Linked DNA regions of Coturnix japonica. The protein of the gene in region 1 purifies or fractionates together with the protein of each later gene. This does not show direct contact. Links are inferred from orthologs where the notes say so. Each region holds a gene or a part of one and is shown in the gene's direction. Other genes may lie near its edges.

Region 1 (3,758 bases):
AGCGCTGTGTGTATTCCAGCAATAATTCTGTGGATTATGAATCACTTTCTTTGATCCGATTCTTTCACAAGGTATGACCCACGACACGACAAATGGTTCCAGATCCAGTCCCTACAGCAAGAGCATGCTGACCTCAGTGTTTGTGTTGTGGACAATTACATATATGCCGTCGCAGGCCGAGATTACCATGAAGACCTGAGAGAAGTGGAGAGGTATGACCCTAAAAGCAACACTTGGGAATATGTGACACCTCTGAAGAAGGAGGTAAGGAGTGCATTAGCCACACGCACTAATACAGTTCCCCAGTTCCTAATTTCATCTTTTTGGTGCTTTTCTCATGCATAGCTTTCATTTTGCCGATAATCACTTGGGAAGCAGAAGCTTCTGTATTTAAGATAAACATACCAATAAAGAATAATAACAATGTATAACTTTAATTTTGGTGTTTAATGCTTATTTTTCTTGTTTTCTTCCTGTTTTCCCTTGCACCTCTGTTGCATTAATCCTTAAAATCATTTCAAATTGAACATGTAAGTCAGGGAACTTCCCATTCCTCCTGGGATATGTAAGCCATGAGTAGTACAAGCTTCTTATCTACAGTCCTGATAAGCATGCTTCATTCCCAGTTAGAAGAAATCATCAAATACTAGGAAGGTACCATAGGATCACAGAATGGCTTAGGTTCAAGGGATCTTAAAGATCATCTAGTTCCAACCCCCCTGCCATGGGCAGGGTTGCCAACCACTAAATCAGGCACTAGATCAGTTTGCCCAGACCCCATGCAGCCTCCACAACTTCTCTGGGCAGCCTGTTCCAGTGCCTCACTACCCTCTGAGTGAGGGTACATCAGTTTCTATATACTATTTAGTTCACAGACTAACAAGTAGACAAGGGAGAGAAGTAATTATATGGATGAGTTTCTAATTAAGAAATAGTAAGGAATGACAACCCACTGTAATTTTAGAAGTTTGGAAATTCTGGGGTAATTAATTTAGAAATTCATGCTTTCAACATAATCACCTTGAAAGGAGTTGGCTATAAGAAAATAGAAAGTCCTTCCAGATGTTAATATCTGTATAACTATAACATAAATGTCACTTATTTAATGTCTATTCCATACTTTGAAACTGGGAGAAATACACAAACCTCGAACTCTTGCTTTCCCACATGGTTATGCAGGTATATGCACACGCTGGAGCAGCACTGGATGGGAAGATGTATATTACCTGTGGGAGGAGAGGAGAAGATTATTTGAAGGAGCTGCAATGTTATGATCCAAAGACTGACCGCTGGGAAGTTTTAGCAGATAGTCCAGAGAGACGTGCTTGGCATGGGATGGCTGCACTGCTGGGAAAGCTCTATGTAATTGGAGGAAGCAACAATGATTCTGGCTACAGAAGGGATGTTCACCAGGTGAGAGCATATCATACCTCTGTCTTGGAAGAGTCTGTTTCTTACAGATGCTTGCACACTGATGTCTTACTCCTCCTATGTGCACAAATAAAACTGCTGAGCAACAGCATCAGCTCTCTTCCACTTAATTGCAGAACTTGCCATAATTTATTTTCTGCTCTCTTGAATGCATTATCTAAGCATTAAAGCTGTAGCATTTGAGATTCATGTAAATTCTAAAATATCTTTGCTGAATGACATTCAATCCCATGCATATAGCCCATAAGTAGCACATCAGCTGAGTTTCCTTTACCTTGCCTTCCCATATGCATTTTTTCCTAGGTTAAGAACTTTGGAATTAGCAGTGTACAGTCGCAGGACAGGATTTGTTAAGGATACATTGGAAAGTGCTGTGAATGGATTGGATGGCAATTGTATAATGCAATAAAATGTACAGTACCTGATGGGCAGCGATGACTGGAGAATTTTCTTGTGTCTCATTCTGACTTCTGTAACTGCTCAAGACATGAAAAAAGACCTAAAAATAAAAAAATAAAAATAAAAAGGAATCGCTTTGATAAAGCCAATGAAGGTAGCAAAATTTAACCTAGTTAAAATATACCTAAGTAGCTTGCCGTACAGCCAGGCTCTGTCACTAAGATCCAAGTTCAGTTTGGGCTAATGTATTTTTTATTTTTTACAGGTTGCCTGCTACAGGCCAAGCACTGATCAGTGGACAAATGTATGTCCGCTTCCTGCAGGACATGGAGAGCCTGGTATTGCTGTCTTAGACAACAGGATCTATGTCTTGGGAGGCAGATCCCACAACAGGGGAATCCGCATGGACTATGTCCACATTTATGATGCAGAAAGAGACTGTTGGGAGGATGGACCCCAGTTGGAGGATGATATTTCTGGGATGGCTGCCTGCGTCCTCACCTTGCCCAGGGCTATTTTAATGGATACAGAGAAATGGTTCTCAGAATGGCACACAGACCGCATGAAGTATCACCTTGACCTTCCGTCAGAAGTTATGAGCGTATCAGACTGGGAGGAATTTGATAATTCAAGTGAAGATTAAAAAAATGTAATATTTATTTTTTGCCAGTAGTTGAGGAAATTAAGTCTTGAAAGAAGAAAAAAATAATCACAAAGATTTTATATGTCTTTCTTATATCCATAAATATTTAAAAGGAATAAGTATTTAAAAGTTTGAAAAATAAGTGTTCTGCACAAAATGACATTTGCTGTCATTATCTGCTCATCTGCAAGTGTTTTGCACAAAATGTCACTACGAGTCAGTATCTTCTTACCTACCAGAAAGCAGGATTTTTAAAGTAACCACAGAACTGCCATTTCCTCCCCGATAAAGTAGGGGGATTCTTTTCCTTTGAAGGAGGCTTCTCTCAACTTTCAGCATGGACAGAGAAATAAAGAAGGCACAGAAAGCTCAGTTTGACTGGCTTCTTTCCTTCCAGCTTTTAGTGTGAAATAGCTTTCTGAGTCTGGGGAGATTTGTTTTTCCTAGTAATTACACCTTATAGCAAGCCTAACATAGGAAGGTAAGAACTAACATCTCCCTCCTGTGCCAGGCGTCAGACAGCTTGATCATTTCTAGCCAGACTGAACATACAGAAGCAGGAACAGTAGTAAGAAATCTGAACCTTCATCTCATCTGGGCACGCAGCCATCCTCATAACTGGGTTAGAGTCTGTGAACCAACACCCACTCCTGAATTTCTATACTACAGGTGCTGACAATGCAGCAGAAAGAAAATTTCTAGAAATAGCTCTTTGTACAGAATATGGCAATCTCATCATTCAGCTGTCAGACACATTTCTTCACAAACATAAATTAATTAATAAACCTTTGTCAGAACTTTTTTTTTTTCCTTTTAACTACTGTCACAGTTTTCTTAACCATGATGTGGAATCTGAGAGATGGAGTTCAATTAGATCCCATGTTACTACATTATTATCAGTGAAGATACACCTGGTTGGGGAATGGGCCTATTTTTTATTCACTCTTTTAATATGCACTTTACAGAAGGATAAAGAGTGCAGATATGGGTTTGCTTCAGATGAGGAAGGTAAGTAATAAGCAGATAACAGGCAGTAGTGGAGATGTCACTTATCCATGACCCTATGGTAGCTGAACTAATGACAGGAAAATAACAATCACCACAGCTCAGAAAGAGAAGACACAGAAAAGCCTTTGTTTAGGAAGCCTAAATGATTCACTTCTGACTGTCATTTTGCCTGACAGTAGTTTAGAAACTGCTTTAAAGTCCAAGCTGTTGTGATACATGGACATTAGGGGATCCCTCCCACCTGGAGGGGCAGGGACTAATGGGTGCCACCAGAAAA
Region 2 (4,060 bases), on another chromosome or scaffold:
CCTCTTTGGTGCGATTGGTGAAGAGGAGACCAACTTCACCCCTCAGGTGCTCGCTGACCTGTGATAAAGGAGCCCAGAGGTGCTGAGACTCAGAGTTAAGGCTGGAAATGCCCTCATCACCTCCATGGATGAACCCCCCCCTACGGACAGCTGTGCCGGTTGTTTCTAACCGAGTTCCCTCCCACCTTGTGTAAGTTCTCCCTGTATTCGCTGCTTGGCTCCCGGCCCAGCGCCACCATCATCACTTTGTTCTTCCCGAAGAAGATCCTACAATTCAACCAAGAGGAAGATGATGATGATGATGATGGTGATGATGATGGGGTTGACCCCTCTCCATCACTCCCCATCCCGTTGCTCACCTGCTGTGTTTCCATGCGTTCCTCACGTCCTTCAGCTTGTTGTTCCTCATGTTGGCCACGGAGAAGATGAAGATGTGTTTGTAGGTGTCCACGCATCGCCGCAGCTGCACGACAGCGGTTAGCGGGGCCTAATGGGGTGGAGCGGGGCAGCGCGCACTGGGCACGACTCACCTCCGTGATCAGCGCTTGTTTGGCCTCCAGTCCCTTCTTAGGCGTCCGCGTCAGGGACACTGCGGGGAGGGGACGTGGTTCACAGAATGACCCGGGTTGGAAGGGACCTCAAGGATCGTGTAGTTCCAACCCCCCTGCCTGGCAGGGCCACCAAACATACACCTTTACTAGATCAGGTTGCCCAGGAGACCCCATAGACCCCATAGAGACCCCATAGATCAGGTTGCCCATGGCCCCGTCCAACCTGGCCTTGAACACCTCCAAGGACGGGGCATCCACAACCTGCCTGGGCAGCCTGTTCAGGCCTAAACCATCTCTAGTGAAAGAGCTTCCCCCTAACATCCACCTAAAATCTTCCCTCTTTTTAAGCTTAAAACCATTTCCCCGTGTCCTGCTATTGTCAGCCCTTTCCAAGAGCTTAATCCCCTCATGGATGTAGATTCCCTTCATGTACTGAAAGGCTGCAATGAGGTCACCCCGCAACCTTCTCTTCTCCAGGCTGAACAAACCCAACTCGCTCAGCCTGTCCTCATAGGGGAGGTGCTCCATCCCCCTGAATGGTTAATGGGGAAGGGGAGGACGGAACGCCGCGACATGAGCCGCTCACTCACCCTTACGGTCCCGCTTGGATTTCGGCATGGCTCCCCGTGCTTCGAGGCCCCCCGGCACCGCGGGTGCTGCTGGGGATGTGCGGGCTGCCCCGCTCGGTGCCTCCCCGTTCAGGCGCAGCGCAGGGCAGCCCCGTGATGCGGGGAGGTCCCGGCGCTGTCATGGCGGCCGGGCTGTGGGTGCTGCTGCTGCCGCTGGCGGCCGCCGTGTACGAGGATCAAGTGGGGAAGTTCGACTGGTGAGTGCCGGGCTGTCAATGCGGGGCTAAACCCACGGCTCGTGTCCGTGTAACGCTGCCCGTCCCCGCAGGAGGCAGCAGTACGTGGGGAAGCTGAAGTTCGCCTCGCTGGAGGCCTCGCAGGGCTCCAAGAAGCTGCTGGTGGGAACCGAGAAGAACGTGGTGGCTGCGCTCAACTCCCGCAGCGGAGACATCCGTGAGTGGGGCGGGGTGTGGGTCACAGCCCACAGTGCTGTATATCCACTATGAGGGTGACACCAAGCCTATGTGTGCCAGTTATCAGTGCTCCTTCAGGGGGATGTTGGCCCTGAAATCCAAGCTGCAGCTCCCGCAGTGAGGACATGGCTCTTTGCAGTGAGGACATGGCTCTTTGCAGTGAGGCTCTTTGGGAGGTCCCAGGGCCGTGGGTTTGAGAGCAGTCAGCAACATCCTCATTGTGCCCATCTCCTTCTCGCTCTGTGTCTCAGTGTGGCGCCATGCAGACAAGGCCGGCCCTGAAGGAGCCATCGACGCGATGCTGATCCATGGTCAAGGTGAGCACATCACACACAGCAGCTGCTCTGCTCCCCGTGTTGGATGCCCTGGCTCTGGGCTCAGCTCCCTTTGCTCCCTGTGTAGATGCCATCACCGTATCCAGCGCCGGGCGCATCCTGCGCTCCTGGGAGACCAACATCGGAGGGCTGAACTGGGAGACGTCGCTGGACACGGGCAGGTAGCGCTGGGCACCAGGGATAAGTCAGTATTTAGTTAGTAAGCTTAACGTACCTTGTCTGCAGTACAGCAGTTTGGACATCAGGCTTTGAAAATCTGGATGGTTGTATCCAACAGCTCCCCCTGTTTGAGAGCCCACAGATCATTCTCTAATCAACCATCTCTGACCTGTGCTCAGTTTCCAGGCCGCGAGTCTGGTGGGGCTGCAGGACGCGGTGAAGTACGTGGCAGTGCTGAAGAAGGCGGCCATCTCCCTGCACTACCTGTCCAACGGGCACCAGAAGTGGGTGGAACAGCTGCCTGAAAGGTGAGGATGTATTTGGAGCTGAAGAAAGAAAGTTCAGACTCACAGCCCAACTCAGGATGCTTCATGTCCTTGAAAAGCTTTGGAAGCAATAAGACGAGCAAACGATGCCTCGTGCCCTTTGTTTCTCGCACAGTGAGGATACTCGATACCAGATGTTGTATTCCCGTGGGGCTGGAGTGATCCATGTGCTCGGAGTTGTCCCCCAGAGCCATCTGAAGGTGTTAACGCTCAGTGTGGAGGATGGAGAAGTCATAGAACAGGTAGTTGTGCTCGATTGTGGATCCAATGTGGCAAATTTGATATGAACAAACACAGTGCATGGAGTTGTGTATGTAAGTTCATTCCTTAAACATCATCATGCTGTTGACGTCTTCATCTCTTGATGTCTCTCTTGGCAGACCAAAGTAGCAGCCCCGTGGCTGAAGAGCTTAAATGGAGCCTGCAACGTGGTGGGGGAGGCAGTGCTGGTGTGTGCAGACGCAGCCACGCGTTCGCTCTATGTTTGCTCTTTGGAGACGGAGCAGGAGATGAAGCAGATCCCGCTGCAGGTGAGCAGTGCTGAGAGGCTTCGTGTGCAGTTATCCAGCTGATTTGGTGCCTGGCGGTGCTGTCTGTTGCTGCTGATACAAGGAAGCTATTAGTTTCACTGGGGAAGAAGTTTCCATCAATGCATGTGCTTGTTTCCCTTCCACAGTCGCTTGACCTGGAGTTTGCTGATGGTTTCCAGCCCAGGATATTGGCTACTCAGCCCAGTGTGATCAACGCTTCGCGCACTCAGTTCTTCCTGCAGCTCTCTCCGGGCTCCTTCTCCCTGCTGCAGTGCAAACAGGGGCTGCTCAGCCACCTGAGGGACTTCCAGCAGGTAACCAGGAGAAAGGGCCAACACAGCTTAACACTGCTAACAACAAACACCCCTTTTTATTGTGTTTTATCATTTCTTGCTCCGTTCTCTTTTTCCCTTTTTTTCAGGCAGCCCTGGTGAGCTTTGCAACTACTGGGGAGAAAACTGTTGCTGCTGTGCTGACCTGTAGGAATGAGCTGGTAGGTGCAGCTCTGTCATCTGAATGTGGCTTAGAGTGGGTTCCACGCTTATTCCTTTGCAGGCCTGCATGATGAGTAGCTTGGGAAAGAGTGGGATTTAATGATCTTTTCAGGCCTAAGAAGTAATGCATGCAGGTCTTGGTTACATCCAGCCTAGGCTCACCTTGTCTAAGCTGTTGTGTCACGTATACGTTCACTGCAGTAGATTTCAGTTCTTACGGGCACTGAGCTGAGCACAGCCTCGTTTTTAGCATAACTCTCTGCTGCTTTTAAAGCCAAGCTGAGATTGCCAAGCACACAAAGCAATTCATTTATCACGCTCTCATGGCAGTGTCAAATCACGTTACCTTCTCTCATCCTCATTGCAGAAACCTGGGAGTTCTGATGGCCTTCATGGAAGTGCTCTGGAGGATTCCCAGAAACAAGTATGAAAAACAAGTTCCCATATGCCATAAAAGTTCTTGACAGTCCTTTTTCTTCCTTTGCTTGTGGGAACAGAGCATAGAAGGTGTTACACCTTGGTTTTGGAGGCTGATGTTTCACAGCACCTATAGATAAACCATCTAAAAACATTTTGAAACCATAATGCTTGCTCACATGAGATTCTGCAGCAGAATTTGACGT
Region 3 (4,192 bases), on another chromosome or scaffold:
AACCAGAAACACGTTTGTTTTATTAGGGCGGTGACTTCACGCGCCACAACGGCACCGGGGGCAAATCCATCTACGGGGAGAAGTTCGCCGATGAGAACTTCATCCTGAAGCACACGGGGCCTGGAATCCTGTCCATGGCCAACGCCGGCCCCAACACAAACGGCTCCCAGTTCTTCATCTGCACCGCCAAGACCGAGTGGTGAGTGGGGAGGGGGCACAGCATCACAACGTGGGGACCCCGGGGGGAGGCAGCTGCATCCCCAACCCTGGTGGCACCCAATGGCCTCCAATGGTACTCAGTGGTTTCCAATGGCACCCACACCTCTCTGCAGGTTGGATGGCAAGCACGTCGTCTTTGGCCGCGTGAAGGAGGGGATGAACGTGGTGGAGGCCATGGAGCGCTGCGGCTCCAAGGACGGCAAGACGAGCAAGCAGATCACCATCTCCAACTGCGGGCAGCTCTCGTAAACCCTGTGTCTTAACGCCTGACATTCCGCCTGCAGCCCGGGCAGCTCCCGGTGCGGCCCCCCCTCCCCTCGTGCTCCTGATTTACTGCTGCGTTTCTACTGGGTCTCGCCGCATGTGCACAGTCCGACCGGACTGCAGAGTTATTATGAGTCTAAATAAAACGAGTTAAACCACCGCACGGCTGCTCTTCTTTGACGTGGGGGGGTAGAGTGGGGGCCCCTATGGGATCTGGTTCCCTTCCTGCCATGAAGTGGCTCACTGACCTCAATAGGGGCAGATGTGGGGGGTGTGAGGCCCCCTCCTCCCCCTATTGCTGTGCTCAGCCCCCCCGGCCCCACAGGGGCTGCAGTGCTGCTCCTGCACCTCCCAGCGTGGGGAAACTGAGGCACGGGGCCTCGGGCAGCTTCTTTAGGGACCTGAGGGGTGTGAATGGGGGGAGCCCAGGATGGGGAGATGGGGGGGAGTTGGGGCAGAGGGGGTTTGTCCCCCAGGTTACTCGGTGGGGGGAGAGGGGAATAGAAACCCCCCCTGGATATCGGTGTGGGGGGTGTCCCCCACTATAGGGTTTGTGGGGGTGTCCCCCCCATCTGTCCAGCACAGCAGGGGTTTGTGTATGGGGGGGTTTAGAGACGTCTGCCCGCTCTGGGGGGGAACCTGAGGATCTCCCAGTGTTCCCAACGTGGGGGGGGGCAGCAGCGCCCTATTGCTGCCGTGTTGTGCTGTTCTCTGCCTGGGACCCCTCCACATGCGGAGGCTGTTCCCGTTCCAGCGGGATATGGAGCCGGTTCCCGGGTCGCCCCTCCCCACATCCCCCCCCCCGGTTCGGTCTCGTGCTGCGGCGGCGCGGCCCGGAACTCCCGTTGCCCGGAACCATTGTGCTCGGCTCAGTTCCCCGCGCAGATGAGCAGCGAGGAGGACCGGAAGCGGCGCCTCGCACGGACCGGAAGCGGAGCCGGGCGGGCGGTTGCCGTGGCAGCGGGCCGGGTCCGCCATGGAGGCGCTGACCGAGATGTACGACCAGGCGCTGCTCGGCATCCTGCAGCACGTCGGCAACGTGGACGACTTCCTGCGAGTCCTCTTCGGCTTCCTCTACCGAAAAACCGATTTCTACCGCCTCCTCCTGCGGCCCGGGGACCGGCTGGGCTTCCCGCCCGGCGCCGCGCAGGCCATGGCCATGCAGGTACCGCAGGGGCCGCCCGTGTCACCCGATAAACGGACCCCCCGGCACCACGGGGATGAACGGGGCCAACAACGGCAGCGCTGGGAGCTGGCAGCGCATTGCAGCACAATGCAGCCCAATGCAGCCCATTGCTGCCCATTGCAGCCCATTGCAGCTCATTGCAGCCCATTGCAGCTCATTGCTGCCCATTGCAGCCCATTGCTGCCCATTGCTGCCCATTGCAGCCCATTGCTGCCCATTGCAGCCCATTGCTGAGAGCTGGCAGCGCATTGCTGCCCATTGCAGCCCATTGCTGCCCATTGCTGCCCATTGCAGCCCATTGCTGCCCATTGCAGCCCATTGCTGCCCATTGCAGCCCATTGCTGCCCATTGCTGCCCATTGCTGCCCATTGCTGCCCATTGCAGCCCATTGCTGCCCATTGCAGCTCATTGCAGCTCATTGCAGCCCATTGCAGCCCATTGCTGAGAGCTGGCAGCCCATTGCAGCCCATTGCTGAGGAGCTGACAGCCCATTGCAGCTCATTGCAGCTCATTGCAGCCCATTGCAGCCCATTGCTGCCCATTGCAGCCCATTGCTGTGGAGCTCACAGCCCATTGCAGCCCATTGCAGCCCATTGCTGAGAGCTGGCAGCTCATTGAAGCCCATTGCTGCCCATTGCAGCCCATTGCAGCCCATTGCTGAGGAGCTCACAGCCCATTGCAGCCCATTGCTGAGGAGCTCACAGCCCATTGCAGCCCATTGCTGAGAGCTGGCAGCCCATTGCAGCCCATTGCACAGGCAGCAAAACCCTGCGGCCAGGTCTGTCCTGATGGTGCAGGTGTAGGCAGTGTGCGATGTGATACCCACGGTTGGAGGCACAGCAGTGCGGCCCCAGGCACGTGTTCCTTGTCCTCTCCCTGGCAGCCAACTGTGTTTTTTGCAGGCGTTCAAAGTGTTTGAGCGGATGGCCCGGCAGGACGATGAGAAGCGCTGCCGGGAGCTGGAGGCAAAGCTCCGCAAGAAGGAGGAGGAGGAGGAAGCTGCCGCGTCTGCCGAGAGGGTGAGAGTGGCCCCGGCTGCACATGAGGTTGAGGTAGAGACCACGGAGGAGCCCGAGCCCTCGCTGGACGCGGGGGATGCGGAGGGGCCGCAGGATTCACCCACAGCCCCGGCAGCAGCAGCCGGCCCCGTGCCAGCAGAGCCCCCTGCACAGCCCTCACCTGCCGAGCTGCCCACGTAAGGCTCCCCCCTCGTGCTGCTTTCCTCGCCCCGCTGGCAGGGGCTGGCAGGGTGGGGGGGTGGAAGGGGTTGCGTGATCCCCCGTGGGAGGCAGAGCTGTGTTCTGTGCTGGGGGTTTGGGGTTTTGTGGCTGCGCTGAGGGCAGGGGGTCGTCGTGTCTCTGCGTTGCTGTGTGCTGGAGCTGTGCACACTGAGGTCACTGTTCTTGGAGGCTGAATGGGAAATCCAGATGCTGTCCCGCAGCCTTTTCCTCATGGAAATTTGGGGTCTGTGCCCCATATGTGTGCGGTGGGAGCTCCCAGAGCCGGATGGGTGCTCTGCAGATCGCTCTCATACTAAATATCCGTGTGGGCAAGTGGCAAGGCCAGCATCAGCATTGGGTGTGCACAGTTTGGGAGCTCCAGAGGTCTCTGCCCTGGCCTTCAGCTCAAAGCAGAGCCAGCTTTGAAGCTACATCAGACACTGCTCAGAGCTTTATGTACCCTTTCACTGAACTTGGGGGCTTTCAAGCTGGGCTGAGCAGCCTCACGCTCCAAAAACGTCCTTGCTCCAAAGTCCCCCCAGCGTGTCTGAAAGCTGCTGCCAACCAGCTCCCCTTCCCTGCCAGGGTGAGATGGCACAAAGCCCGTGGGTCCTGCACTGATGTGTGACAGCTCCAGGTCCTGGAAAAGCTGGGGTGGGATGGATAGAGAGAATGGAGTGAGAGGGGAAGGTGCCCAGCAGCTCGGTCAGGTGAGAGTGAGAAGGCTTTGTGCTGAGCTCAGCCAGCCTGACCTGTGTTGCATGGGGTAAAAATAAGCCAGAAGCCACAAGTGATACGACCTGAAAAGCCACGTTCTGTTGTCCCATGAAGGAAATTGTCCCTGGGGCAGTCTGACACCTCACAGAATTAACGAGCCAAAAAAAAGCCCCACTGGAACCAACAGAGCTCTTGTGCCTTGCCTCAGCTGTGACCTGCGTGTTCCCAACCTGGGCTGGGGAAGGGAATGGGGCAGCGTGGCTGTGGGATCCAAGTAGGGCAGAGCAGGCAACAGGTTGCTGCTGTAGTTGGTGTTTGTGCCTCTGGGGGGCACTGGAGCCCCCCGAAAGGCAGCAGGCATCCAGGGCACCCCTGACAGGCTATTAATAATTGAACCAGCTGCTTAATTCTGCACAACCCCTCCTGAGCAAAACCCCGAGCCGCCAGCTTGGAGACAAGGGGCGCATGAATAACATGCAGCGCCAGCAGCAAGAATGCAGAAAAGAGATTAAACAAAAACATTTTTCTTCTCCCTTCCCCCCCCCCTCCACCCCCCTCAACTGGTAAAGGAAACCATCACCACCAA

Evidence for each region. The genes of interacting proteins can lie anywhere in the genome.
Region 2: the proteins of KLHL22 (region 1) and EMC1 purify together in Homo sapiens (co-immunoprecipitation; 3 studies listed by BioGRID and IntAct, with this or other methods). This does not show direct contact. The link is inferred for Coturnix japonica from reciprocal best matches to the Homo sapiens genes KLHL22 and EMC1.
Region 3: the proteins of KLHL22 (region 1) and NUDCD3 purify together in Homo sapiens (co-immunoprecipitation; 3 studies listed by BioGRID and IntAct, counting the BioPlex papers as one, with this or other methods). This does not show direct contact. The link is inferred for Coturnix japonica from reciprocal best matches to the Homo sapiens genes KLHL22 and NUDCD3.

Annotation. Positions count from the first base shown.
Region 1 is NC_029530.1:7,309,771-7,313,528, reverse strand, and holds the end of KLHL22 (kelch-like protein 22), read left to right. Parts: intron 1-71; coding exon 72-264; intron 265-1,146; exon of another isoform or gene 1,147-1,179; coding exon 1,180-1,413; exon of another isoform or gene 1,414-1,930; intron 1,931-2,095; coding exon 2,096-2,473; 3' UTR 2,474-3,258; downstream 3,259-3,758. UniProt on the Homo sapiens protein: Substrate-specific adapter of a BCR (BTB-CUL3-RBX1) E3 ubiquitin ligase complex required for chromosome alignment and localization of PLK1 at kinetochores.
Region 2 is NC_029536.1:4,062,381-4,066,440, reverse strand, and holds the start of EMC1 (ER membrane protein complex subunit 1), read left to right. Parts: upstream 1-1,260; 5' UTR 1,261-1,276; coding exon 1,277-1,377; intron 1,378-1,448; coding exon 1,449-1,573; intron 1,574-1,844; coding exon 1,845-1,910; intron 1,911-1,995; coding exon 1,996-2,089; intron 2,090-2,266; coding exon 2,267-2,395; intron 2,396-2,528; coding exon 2,529-2,655; intron 2,656-2,793; coding exon 2,794-2,943; intron 2,944-3,089; coding exon 3,090-3,257; intron 3,258-3,364; coding exon 3,365-3,436; intron 3,437-3,804; coding exon 3,805-3,861; intron 3,862-4,060. Other genes in the region: MRTO4 (mRNA turnover protein 4 homolog), read right to left, coding at 1-58, 186-267, 360-463, 531-589, 1,142-1,169. UniProt on the Homo sapiens protein: Part of the endoplasmic reticulum membrane protein complex (EMC) that enables the energy-independent insertion into endoplasmic reticulum membranes of newly synthesized membrane proteins.
Region 3 is NC_029537.1:104,876-109,067, reverse strand, and holds the start of NUDCD3 (nudC domain-containing protein 3), read left to right. Parts: upstream 1-1,392; 5' UTR 1,393-1,459; coding exon 1,460-1,648; intron 1,649-2,571; coding exon 2,572-2,864; intron 2,865-4,192. Other genes in the region: PPIA (peptidyl-prolyl cis-trans isomerase A), read left to right, coding at 27-199, 333-468.